Daphnia pulex: one gene and its partners. The protein of the gene in region 3 purifies or fractionates together with the protein of the main gene of each other region. This does not show direct contact. Links are inferred from orthologs where the notes say so. Each region holds a gene or a part of one and is shown on either strand. Other genes may lie near its edges. The genes, in order: growth factor receptor-bound protein 2, uncharacterized protein LOC124188642 and epidermal growth factor receptor-like.

Region 1 (4,177 bases), on a different chromosome or scaffold from region 3:
TTCTTGACCTTTGGTCAAAGAAGTTAAAGTATCAGCAGCCAAAGATCCAAGTTCCTCTTGCTCAGCCTGTGAGGAAAAAAAAAGATACAATACAGTTGTGATGAAAATCAATAAAGAAACCAACCTTGAGCTCTCTAATGAATCCCAATTGTTGACTAGAACTGGCCATGAGTTTGTTGACTGTCATTTGAGTCAGTGCTCTAAACTGTTGTTGGCGGGCACCGTAGCACACTGATCTTGCTCTATTGGATAGAATATGGTAGGCATTCCAGGTGTCGGAATCCATGTCAGAAGTACATTCCCTTAAAGTCTAAAAAATATAAACTGGTTAGCTACAACTAGCTGAAGTGATACATTAATTAGAAAACTTGCCATTGAAGAGGAGCATGGGTAGACTCTCCGCCCTTCCAATCTTGATTGGCAGTTTAAAAGATTCACACCCAACTTAGACAAATCTTCCTCTGAGAGATCATTGCAGTCTTGCTTCAATTGAAGGATTAACTATAAACGAGTTCATTAATATTAATGAACAGTGAGATTGTACTTTGAATCAACATCAAAGTACTTTACTTACTTTATGCTGGCAAACATCCAGCTCGCTCAGACTAAGGTCAGTATATTTCTGTGCATCGGCAATGAATTTTTCATCAGCTACAGACAGCTCAAATGGAATATCAGACCTTGCTTGCACAGCACTCTCATCAGGTTCAGAAACTTCAATCTTATCATCTTCTTTTGCTACAGCCATAAGCTTATCAAATTGTTTTTCACTACTCAAAATGTTAAAAGGGGAGCTGTCTCTGCCTAAAATCCAACCTACTAAACTAGAATGACTACCAGTTCCTAGGAGAATTATGGCCACTAAATATAAAGTTATCTTCATTTTTGTAATAATCACAGTGCAATATAAGAGAAAATCATCTGACAATAATTGTATAAGATTGTAAGAGGGTTTGGTCGATAAAATTAGTCAAAAGGAACTGCACGTTGCTTTTCTAAATTCAAGTCCGGACTGGTCTGAATCTCTGGGTCGAGATTCCTTTTGAAAACCATTTGCATTTATTCAAATGAGGCAGATAACGTTGCCACATTGCTTTTTCCAAAAGAATTCGACGGAAATTTAAATATTTAAAATCTTAAAATATTCATCTATTATGTTGTATTATAAAAAATGTATATTCCTGTAATTGAAATAATATTTTAAATAATTTCAGTCATTTGGAAAAAAAATAGTTAGAAAAAATAAAAAACGTTTACAGGCACGCAAGCATTTACCTTTAAAATTCCATTGGGAGAAAAGGACTGGTGACGCTCGTGCGTCAAAGCCAAGAACTAAGTTGTTTCCCAAAATTATGGCTGTCTGGCTTTCGTCGGGCCCCGAAAACAGTGTATAGTTAATCAAACAATCGTGGATACGGATACGTCAGTTGATAGTCAATATTGTCAAACAATTTGTGGGAAATGCTATTCGTTTTTGAGTTTCGAGAAGTGTAATTCGACTTTGAACGAAGTCAAAACATTTTGGTGATTGGCCAACAACCGTTTCACTTGATAAACGTAGCCGTGGTGCACATCCGGCCTAGCCTTGAAAAGGAAATTCCTTCTCTGAAGCTTGTTTTGCCAAGAAATACTTTATCATCTGTGATTTCATAAAACGTGTTATTTTCGAGATGGAGGCCAATTCTAAACATGACTTTAATGCCACTGCTGAAGATGAGCTTAGTTTTCGAAAAGGGCAAGTTCTCAAGGTAAACCAAGCAATGATGCTTTCAACAGAATTTAAGGAATTTTTGCTTATAGCAATATTCTAACCTGTTCATTTGATTCAAATGTAGATTCTGAATATGGAAGATGATCTGAATTGGTATAGAGCAGAATTGGATGGAAAAGAAGGGTTGATTCCTAGTAACTACATTGAAATGAAAAATCATGAGTAAGCCTAGTTGAAATGTTTATGATAAAATAATGCATATTGATTATAACTTGTTGTTTTATTTTCTACAGTTGGTACTATGGAAGAATAACCAGAGCTGATGCAGAGAAACTCTTGGGCAACAAACATGAAGGCGCTTTTGTTGTTAGAGTCAGTGAGAGCTCACCGGGAGACTTTTCCCTGTCTGTTAAGTATGTTATCTAGTTCTTAAAATAACAATGTGATAGATTTTGTTTAGAAACATAGACAGTGTAAATCCTTAACCAAGAGCTCTAGATAGTTTAGAAATGCCCCATAGGAATTCTTCTACTATGTTTGATGTTATTATTTGCCTATTCTCAAATGTTGTTGAAATCTATTTGTGGCATACCAGACTACTTATCATTAGAACATCTGAATGAGATAAGTTGACATCTATTAACTAAGCTTGTAAGTCGTTAACTGCCTAAAACGGGAAGATTTCTCAAAATATTTATGTAGAAATAGCACATTATAAAAACATATTGAGAAATATCGCTTTGCATTCAGATATCCTGATTAGACGCTACACGTACATTTGAAGCGTGAAAAGAATTTCAAACATGCAGGCTTTCATCAGTGTAAAATCAAATATCTTATAATCTCGCTCTCCAAACTGTACGATACAAGTTCTACCTTACTAGGAAGACGCGTTTGAATAGAAAATTAATGAACCGAACGTACAGTTTATTTCTATTTCCCTCAAAGAATCATGGGTATTTGGTTTTCTGTAGAAATTTGATTTGATCACGCAAGAATTCTTTCCAAATGCAGTGCATGAGTCAACCTGATGACGCACACATCCGTTTACATTCCAATTTTATTCACTTCAAAGGTGGAATGAATCTCAATTGTCTATTTTGTTTTACCTTAAAAAAACAAAGACAGCTTGTAAAATTGGAACTCGTGCAGTGACTACCCTTTGCTTAAGTCGTGACTCGTGATTCATGAACCGTCAGTCCTACTGTTTTCAGTAATTAGTTTTATCCTTTTTGGTATTTTATTAGCCTTGTTAGGCGTGTCTAGGGTACATTCTGTTTTCTATCTGTTAGGCCTTTTCGTCAAGTTCCCTTACCACTGAGCCACCGTCCGTAATCAAGCAACTATATATGTGCCTTGAACCGGAGTTTTGCATCATTTTTAGTTTTTACAATTCTCTCATCGCCCTGCTGTGTTATTTATTCCTTCTTGAGGTTTTTGCCCGTTAAGTTGTAGGATGAGTGTGTTTTGTTTATAGCTAAGGAAGCCATCATCCTACTTCCTTGTAGTTCGAAATTAGTTTGAAATTTACACAATACTTTGTTACGTGCATTCTGTGTTAATAGGCTATTCTCTATTTTTTCTTTCTTGTCTCGCAGATGTGGCGATGGTGTCCAGCACTTCAAAGTACTTCGCGATGCCCAAGGGAAGTTCTTTTTGTGGGTGGTAAAATTCAACTCGCTCAACGAACTGGTCGACTACCATCGCTCCACATCTGTTTCTCGGTCTCAGGATATAAAGTTACGAGACATGGTGCCTGAAGAGGTGAGTTACCAGTTGTTCTTTTTTCCATGCCTTTAGGCTCAGGATTGACTAACAATTGTTGTGTGAATTTTCGACAGTTCTTGGTGCAGGCACTATACGATTTCACCCCGCAAGAACCAGGTGAATTGGAATTTAAGCGAGGCGACGTCATAACTGTGACAGACCGTTCTGATCAACATTGGTGGACTGGAGAAATTGGCGCCCGCCGCGGCCTCTTTCCTGCCACTTACGTTGCCCCGTATCATACTTAAAAGGCGAAGGCACTGTTCGTTCGTTTTCTTTTGCTCCTTTTCTTTTCTTCATAAATTTTTCTTCATTTTTTTTTTCTTTTTGTATTAAAGTGGTGCGTCCGTTCTTAAGACTCAAGTTATTTTTGCCGACTTCGAACCTAAACACATTACTAACTTTGATAACAAAACAGTAAAAGTGATGAACAGCTAGGATTGACAGGATTGCATCTCATTTCTCATTGAAAGCAGTTTGTAAAATTGCTTTCTTTTCAGTTTTTTTCCGTTTATGTTGTTCTAACCTCGATTTTCGACTGTATTTCCCCTCAAGCACACAGCTTTCGGGATTGCCATTAGATGTGGCTTTGGTCGAATAGTCATGTTGGAGCAATTTGTGTGGTTTTGATTGCGGAAAGATAAGTTAACTTATCCATAACGTCGACAACAATTACTGGGCTATTAAGTTTGCCCGTCA
Region 2 (4,111 bases), on a different chromosome or scaffold from region 3:
GATGAGCATCAGAAGGAGGATGGCCACGACGGCGGCCAACAGGATGAAGAGGCCGGCTCCCAGTCCGGCTATTTGGGCGCCTCCCAGTCCGCCGACGACGGGCGCTTGGACGTCGACTCTGAGCGTCAGGTTGACTCTGGCCAGTCCGGCGGCGTTGGCGGCCACGCAAACGAATTCGCCGCTGTCGGTTTCTCTGGCCGGACTCAGGATGAGATAACTGGTCTTTTCGTACTTGCCCTCCTCGAGGATGATGACGGTCCGTGTCTCGTCGGACGGATATCCGTCGCCTTCGGCAGTTTCTCCGACAGGTAGCGCTTCCGGTTCGCCAGGAATGCTTCCGTTGGCCATGGGACGGCCGCGCCACAACCAAGTGATTTCCGGCGAAGGAACGCCGCTCATCCGGCACGTCAAAGTGGCATTCTCGCCGGCCGAGGCTTCGACGTGCAGGTGCGGATGTCCGCCGCCGGCCAGCAGCGGAGCAGCTGGAAACGGAATCACTTGAGGGGCGCATGCAAAGTCGTCGACTTGGAGTTCGATGAGGGCCCGGCCGGCCAGCCTTTCGGGCAGGGCGCAGGCGGCCGTGGCCGGGCTGGGCACGTTGTGCTGCTGGAGCCACTCGCGCAAGTAGCGGAGTCTGCAGTCGCAAATCCAAAAATTGTTTTGCAATTCAAGTCCGTGCAGTCGACTGGGCAGCGAGGAGACGACGTCCGGTCTGAGCTCTTGCAGTCGATTGCCTCCCAGTCGCAGATGGGAGAGCTGGTCGAGTCCGTCGAATGCACCGGCCGCGAGCGTCTCGATCTGACAGTCGGACAGGTCGAGTTTGACCAGTCCAGGGGCCTGGTCGAAAGCGCCCTGCTCAATCTTCTGGATGGGATTGGAACTGAGTCTGAGCTCGCGCAATGAAACGGCATCGCGCAACGCCTCGCTGGGCACGTCCGTCAGCAAATTGTCGCTGATGTCGAGCTCAATTAGGTTGGTGAGTCCGCGCAGGGCCGTCGGGTCCACCTGGCCGATCCGACAGGAGGCCAAATAGATTTTCTGCAAGTTGAGGAGATTGGCCCTGGAGAAGGCCTCGCGCGGCAGGGTCTGCAGGTTGCTGCCGGACAGGTCCAGCACTTGAGTTTGCGGATCAATGTTGGACGGCAGGGTGATGAGACCGCGCTGGCGGCACTCGACCGTCTGCTTGCCGCCCTTCCACTTGACGCCCGGGCAGGCTCCGGCACCTCCGGCGGCCGACATGACCACCATCCATGTCGCACACAGCACCAAGATGGCATTCCATCTCTCGACTCCCATCATAATAGTCCACGTGCTGCTTCGGCTTCTGCTTTTGCTGCTGGCCATGATATTTTTAGCTTTTTTAATTTCCTCCCTTCTTCTTCTTCTTCTCAGCTTTTCCCTTTTTTATTTATTGGGTTGCGCCGGAGCAGACAGAAGAGGAGACCTTGTCTCGAGTGCCTTAGATATTTTTGCCCTTTTAGTAAAAAGGAAAAAAATAAAAAAATATCTACCACCAGGAAATGGAGGGTACGTCTTGCGTTATCAACCGCAGTCCATCAGGGATCTCTCTCTCTCTCCCCCTTTTTGGGGGAAATAAAAATCTAACACACAGAGAGAGAGAGAAGCTTGAAATGAGATTGAGGGGTAGTAGTGGGCGGTGTGTCGACTCGCTTAAAATGGGGGAGAGATAGTCGCAGTCAAAAGGAGAGAGAAAAAAAGAGACTTCGGACGATGATATTAAACAGAGACACTTGAACCACCACCCTCGAGTCTGAGCGAATCGATGACGACACTTGACAATTGCAGCATTGGGGTGACTTTGCTGCCTCCTCTTTCTTTTCTTTCTTTCTTCTTTTTTTGAGATTTTATTTTGAGATTTTGTTGTGTGTGTGTGTCTGGAAATGTATTTCTCGCCACTTGTGAAAATGTCCGGACGTCGGTTTTGTTTCGTTTCGTTTCTTCTCACACAGCCGAAGCGAAACAACAAGAGGGAGACAGTGTGCGCTGTTAAAAAAGAGTACACGAGCCCTAAAGAGTCAAGGCTTTTGAGGATCGAGTGCAGAGGTGAAAGGTGGGCAAAAGTTTTCCTTTGGGTTATTCCTTCCTGTTGTGTGTCTGTGTGTGTGCGCGTCTCCTCCTCTTGCGTGTATATCCAGACGCGACGACAAACGTCTCGAGCGGAAATCAACTTCTTCTTCTTCTTCTCACAACGAGCACAAACACAGAGACACACATTCACTGGCGCACACAAACACTCGTGAGTCGGGAAAGAAAAAAAAATTGGAGGGGGGCTGCTGCCGAATTCTTTTTCTTTGATTCTCAGTCGCCCTGTGCTCTCTCTAGTACTTCATTACGACGCTCGTCGTAGCCGAAAGAAGAAGAGAAACGGCCTCGAGGGAGCGACAGGAAGTTGAAGAAGAAGAAGCACCAAATAATAATAACAACGTCGTCTCAACGGGGGGAGGAAAGAAAAAAAGAAAAAAGGAAAATGGGTAACTTCACTGGCAGATGTCCGTCAACCGACGCCAATAGATTTCGGCCGTCGTCGAGCGTGTCAGTCAATGTGTCGCACTTGTTCGCGGTCGATTTCACTCAAGTGAATCGACTGAATTTGTGAATTTTTAACCAAAAACTTTTTTGTCTTTTTTCTTTCGATCGGGTTTTTGAAAAATAAACTGCGGGGTAGAGGGGGGAGTAAGTGATGGGCGTCAAACAAACTGGAGTGTCTTGTGCGTTGGGTGTAGCACTTTTGGGCTACGTGAAAATCGTAGCGGAAGCTCATCCGCAGTCGGTGAGCAGCGAGCGCGGAGACGAGACTGATGTTGCACTAGGATCGGCAGGTTCCTTTTCCCCTCCACAAAAGCCCCCCCACACGCTAAGGACCACCTCCTTTTTCCGAGCCTCCTCCTCCCCAATTTAACCCAACCGACGCTGCAGCTGCGGTGGCCGCTCGTTCCGGAGGGCAGCCCATGGCACAGCAGCAGCGTCGTCATCTCGTTTTGCTGTGCACTAATGTTCGCTTGACGTTCGTTCAGTTTTTTTCTTCTCTGCTCATATCCTTCCTTTCTCTTTTTAGATTTTTCTTTCTTCCCTTTACTCCTTTTTTTCGGGGTTGTTGTGTGTACTGTGATTATTGTTATTATTACTATTATTCCGTTCCTTTTGACTTGGTTCTTCTTCTGCTTCTTCTTCTTCTTCGGGTCTTCGTGCGTTCGCATCCGGCCCAGCCCTCCCCCCGCCATTATCTTTCCTCGACTTTTGCGAGTCTGAAAAGCAGCTCGGAAGGTGTACACTGGCGCGGTGTGTAGTCGACAAGGAACCGGCAAAGACAAAAGATTGTTTAGCTTCTATTATTCCTCGAGCTATATACCCCCAACTACATTCTACACAAAGTCTAAGAAGAAGAAAACAAAAAACCAACAAAACCAAAAATAAAATAAAGACGTGGTTTTTGTTTTGATCTCCTTTTATGTGTGCGTTTGTCCTGCTGCACACATGTACGTATACTACTACTCCCGGTCGTCCTAGTCATCGTCCTTATTTTTTCCGGGGTGGTCGGGAATGCCCTTATGTTGGTGGCCCAACTTTTAGATTTTATATGAAAAAAGAAGAACGAAAAAGAAAAAGAATAGGGAAATCCTTTGCCAACAATGGATACGGGGGGGGGGGCTTTGCGTATACGTCCGCAACTCGGTTCATTATCTGCATCGGCTTTTTTTCTTTTGGCATTGAGATGGACAAAAAAATACATAACATACCAAAAACACACAACATACACAGAGTCCCGGCCGCCGTGTGTGTGCATTTGACGTTATGACTGGAACACATGCGTCAGAACCATTGCCAATCGCGGAGTTTCCCTTGGTTACAACTTACAACGACTTCGAAAACTGTAAATCCATTCCCTTTACTTCTCCCCCCCCCCCTCCAACCTTCCTTGATTATAGAAATTAACATTCCAATTTCACGCGGTGGCCACCGAAATTGCGTCTCATTTTTTTCCCTCTTCTGTCAATGTTGCGGTGGATGGTTTTTTTTTTTAGAGAGAGAGCCGCGGAGTGTAGCCAATTTTCTATTTTTCTTGATTTATTTGTTTTTGTGTGTGTGTGTG
Region 3 (4,069 bases):
TTTCCTTTGAGGGGGCAGAAAAAAAAACAGCTGGACACAGTGATTACATGTACACCAAGTAGTTGTGTGAGCTGGGCCAACAACAAGAGAAGCTAGGCGCCATGTTGCCCAGCAGCTGGGAAAATAAGAAGAAAATGGCCATCATCATTATTTTCCAATGTAAGATGACGACAAGGTCGTCGTACCTTCTTTTAAACTTGTTCTGTTTTTCATTTTTTTTTTCTGACGGCCAAGACATTTGGCCGGCCAGATGCAAATGAAGCCATTTGGGAAGAAAAGAGAGTGGAAGACCTGGCCATCTTTCTGATGATGATGATGAGGCTATGCTGGGACTTTTATATTTTATCTTATATAGTATATAGAGTTGGCCGGCTGTTGAGATTTTTATATGACGGGCCGGCAGCAGCTGAGACATTCCATCGGGCGGCTGCACGACCGCTGCTGCGGCCGTGAATTGAGCCCCCTGGACTTGTGTGTGTTGTACATCAAAGATACTCGATCCTCTCCTGTTGCTATACGAGGCCGCCGCCCGTCAGGGCCGTCTCTCTAAATTGCCGCCGCCAACGATATGACGGGCCAATGAGTGAGGCCCTGCAGCATCAGGAGCCAAAAGAAAGAAACGTGTGATGTTTACGATCCCGGCGGACTCTATACAAAATATAAGAAGCTGGGCAAGAAAAAGAAAAACATTGTCCGTTTCTCTCTTGATGAGGTACCGTCGTGAGCCAGCGGATGACGGACCTTATACGGATGATTGGAATCCCCTCCCAGTCGAATTCCTACGACGATTTAGACATTCGGGAAACAAAAAACGGACAGGTGCTGGCGATAGTTTTAAAAGAAATGCCGGGCAAAAGAATCTCTCAACGGGTTGACATGGTGACGGATGCTTCTCTCTCTCTTCTATCCATTCTCTGATGTAATGTCTAACAAATGAGCGACGATTTATATTGTCTCCTTCTACCGTTTGTGTGGCTCTGGGCTTTTTTCCCTGTCTTATCTTGTCGCCCAGTCATTGGTATTCCAGGCCAGCGTTCAGCTTCTTTTCTTCTACTTGATCTCTACATCAAGTCTGGGCTATTTCTCTAAACACACGTCTCAATCCAAACGCAATTCTATTCCATCCGTTTGATACTAAGAAGATGGAAATTTTATTTAAAAAAGAGCCGGACATTGTGTGAGATATATTTCCGACATTTCCGTTTTAAAAATGGGAATAAAAAAGATGAAAACAATCGGACGAGACAGAGACAAAGGGCCATCTGTCAACCCCCTCTGGTCAAATAAAAATAAAAATAAATAAAATGTTATTTTTGTTTTTTGTTTTTTTGGCCCAGCTGCTGCCCGTCTTGATGATGATATTAAGTCGCAGGTAGTTACGACAGCAGCGGGTGACTTGTAGTAGTAGTAGACGAGTCCCTTTTTATTTATATAAACATGGCCCGTCTCGTCCTGGATGGACCCAACCAAAAAATATCTAATCCTAATAGGGGAAAATGGCTGGCCCTTCGTCGCCCGTCGTCGCCACGGTGAAAAATGAGCGGGACGTGAGGCGAATTTCCAATCACATCAAACGACAACAAACAACAACCACAAACGAAAAAAATAAGAGAGTTGTCCGTCTGGACTCCCAATTAAGTGACATATTCCGTCTATAAGGGGTGGCTGGCCGGCCCAGTCAACTTATATTTTTCTCCCAGACGCGTTCAACTCTCTATTTTTTGTTGTTTGTAGAGTGACATGAATGCGCGGGCAGGGCCGTCTGACTCAGAGACAATCAATTTCAAAAGAGAAAAAAGAGAAAAAATATTTTTCCAGCCGAATTTGGAAAGCCTATTCGTCTGCCCAGCAAAGATATGATGAGATGGTTGCCAAGTATTTTCTTTTTTTCGCTGTCATTACGTACACAGACGGACCAAAAGGCAACACACACACTGAGCTGCTGTGAGAGCTGAGCAGGTGAATATTTTATTTTTTTTCTTCTTTCCCGCTAAGTCACGGCGAACGCGCCCTCCTTCACGAAAAGAGCCAGAAGCGCAGATGAGTCAGCAGCAGCTCGGCCGGCCCTCCACCACAAGGAGGAATGTATATATGTTTCTTCTTCTTGTTTAATTCTGCCATGGCACCAAACGCATCACAGTTCAGACGGGCCGAGATAAATTGAACTGCGAGAGAATCTGACTGGAGAATCTCTCTCGTCCACTTGGCTTAGTTTCATGGCCGTCTCTAACCTAATACCTAGCTAGCTAGATAGCTAGGAGAATCATTACCTCGTAAACATTTTTTTTCCAGCCCAGCTCAAACAGACTTTCTCGCCCAGTTGAAATTCATTTGATTTCCTCCCCAAAGCTCAAACGAAATGAATTTCACACGACCTTTTCGGCTGCCCATCAATCTGTTTGCTGGACATATTTTATCTATTTTTTTGTGTGACGACGGCCAAGGTCGATCCTGCCCGTCTATCACACCTGTTGAGCTTCTCTAATCCCAACCGATCTTAATAAATTAAATTGTGTCCGTCGAGCCATTGATCAAATTCAAATTTAGCGCCATCGAAAAATCAAACCAAAAAATCTCACCTGTTGGCTCCTAACTCTTCCTCCTACCGCTGTTAAATAATCCAACCGAATTTCAATTTAATCCAAGCCTCCCACACTATTTAGTCTTCACTTTAAACTAAAAAAATGAACTTGTTCACTATAGACACAATCTGTTGAGGCATCCAACCACACACACACACAGGTGAGAAGACACACACAACACCAAAATTTAAAAAATGTTATTTATATGTGAGAGTCGGTAAGACGACGTCCTCGACACACGGACAACAAACTCGAGACTGAAGTTGAGAAAAAGCCAGTCGCTCATTTCCCCCCCACCACCACCTGAAAGAGAGAGAAGCCTCGTCTTACCTTTTTTCTACCTGTAGCTCTCCCTCCTTTTCTTATTTGCCCATTTTTTATTTCTACCTGTAGTTACAAGAGTCTGCCCTGGGGCCTTTTTTTATTTATTTTCTTCTTCTTCTTCTTCCATTCTTGTACATTTCCCCCCCTTTTTCCTTCTTCTTCTTCCTATTCTATTCGGCATTTTATTTTTTAAAAATAATCGAAATTGATCCGAGTCAATTCTGTTCACTTTATGCAGATCGACTCGTATTGCTCAAGAGTGTCCGATTGTTACGTGCAAAGGTGTGCTCAGCCTTGCGTCATCAGATAACACACCAAGTTATAAGACACTTGGGAGTCCCTTAACTTATTGTGCCGATCTATACCAGCAGTCGAATAAGGTTCGATAGCCATCGTCGTCTGCTGTAGTCATCAAACAGGTGAAAAAAAGGGCCTGGACATTTTCTTAAAATAAAATAAAAATAACACCCAGATTCCAAATAACATTCAAACGGGAAAAGAAGAAGAAAAAAGGTGAAAAAAGTCACAAGTCGGCGCTAATTTTCACGAACGTCTCGTCTATGTGTGCCTGGAAAAACCTGTGCAGCAGCTGAAAGAACTAACCAAAAGGTGAGAAAGGTATTAGATGTGATAAGAAAGAAAAGAATAATTTATCTTTTTCTTCAGAAAAGAGAAAAAAAATTAAAAAAATGGCTGCCGGCTATATAGACACACCGACAGGTAAACACATGGCAGATTTCTACATCTACTGGCGTCCTTCTCTATTTTCTATTTTTTCTCCCCCTTCCTCCATCCAGAGGCCTCCTGACTTCCAGGCGCCGCCATCTTGGAAAGCGCGCGCGAGCGGCTTGACTTTTCATCCCAATTTCCACCTTTTTCCTTTTTTACCTTCTTTGCCGTATATCTATTCAAATTGGTTAAAAAAAAAGGACAGGGGAGGGAGGGTTATTTTAAGTAGAGATCAAACACCGAGATATTTCCAACCCAAAAAGGTTGATATTTCTTGAAAGTTTGGTGGTGTGAGGCGACTGTCGCCAACCCTTTTAGCACAAAGTCCAGGATATATCTGTGAATATATAAAACTTGCCGGCTCTCTCTCTGATAAGATTCAAATGAAATAGGCCTCAATGTTGATGGTTTTAACAAAATAATAATAAAAAACA

What was found.
Region 1: the proteins of epidermal growth factor receptor-like (region 3) and growth factor receptor-bound protein 2 purify together in Drosophila melanogaster (affinity purification with western blotting; 4 studies listed by BioGRID, with this or other methods). This does not show direct contact. The link is inferred for Daphnia pulex from reciprocal best matches to the Drosophila melanogaster genes Egfr and drk.
Region 2: the proteins of epidermal growth factor receptor-like (region 3) and uncharacterized protein LOC124188642 purify together in Drosophila melanogaster (affinity purification with western blotting; 5 studies listed by BioGRID). This does not show direct contact. The link is inferred for Daphnia pulex from reciprocal best matches to the Drosophila melanogaster genes Egfr and kek1.

What each region holds. Positions count from the first base shown.
Region 1 is NC_060028.1:9,115,122-9,119,298, reverse strand, and holds the start of growth factor receptor-bound protein 2, read left to right. Parts: upstream 1-1,274; 5' UTR 1,275-1,670; coding exon 1,671-1,748; intron 1,749-1,835; coding exon 1,836-1,933; intron 1,934-2,004; coding exon 2,005-2,124; intron 2,125-3,309; coding exon 3,310-3,475; intron 3,476-3,552; coding exon 3,553-3,726; 3' UTR 3,727-4,177. Other genes in the region: protein brambleberry-like, read right to left, coding at 1-66, 125-310, 373-501, 575-883.
Region 2 is NC_060018.1:5,469,829-5,473,939, reverse strand, and holds the start of uncharacterized protein LOC124188642, read right to left. Parts: upstream 2,836-4,111; 5' UTR 1,345-2,835; coding exon 1-1,344.
Region 3 is NC_060021.1:730,408-734,476, forward strand, and holds the start of epidermal growth factor receptor-like, read right to left. Parts: upstream 2,839-4,069; 5' UTR 2,580-2,838; intron 1-2,579. UniProt on the Drosophila melanogaster protein: Receptor tyrosine kinase, binding ligands of the EGF family and activating several signaling cascades to convert extracellular cues into appropriate cellular responses. Known ligands include spitz, gurken, vein and giant-lens.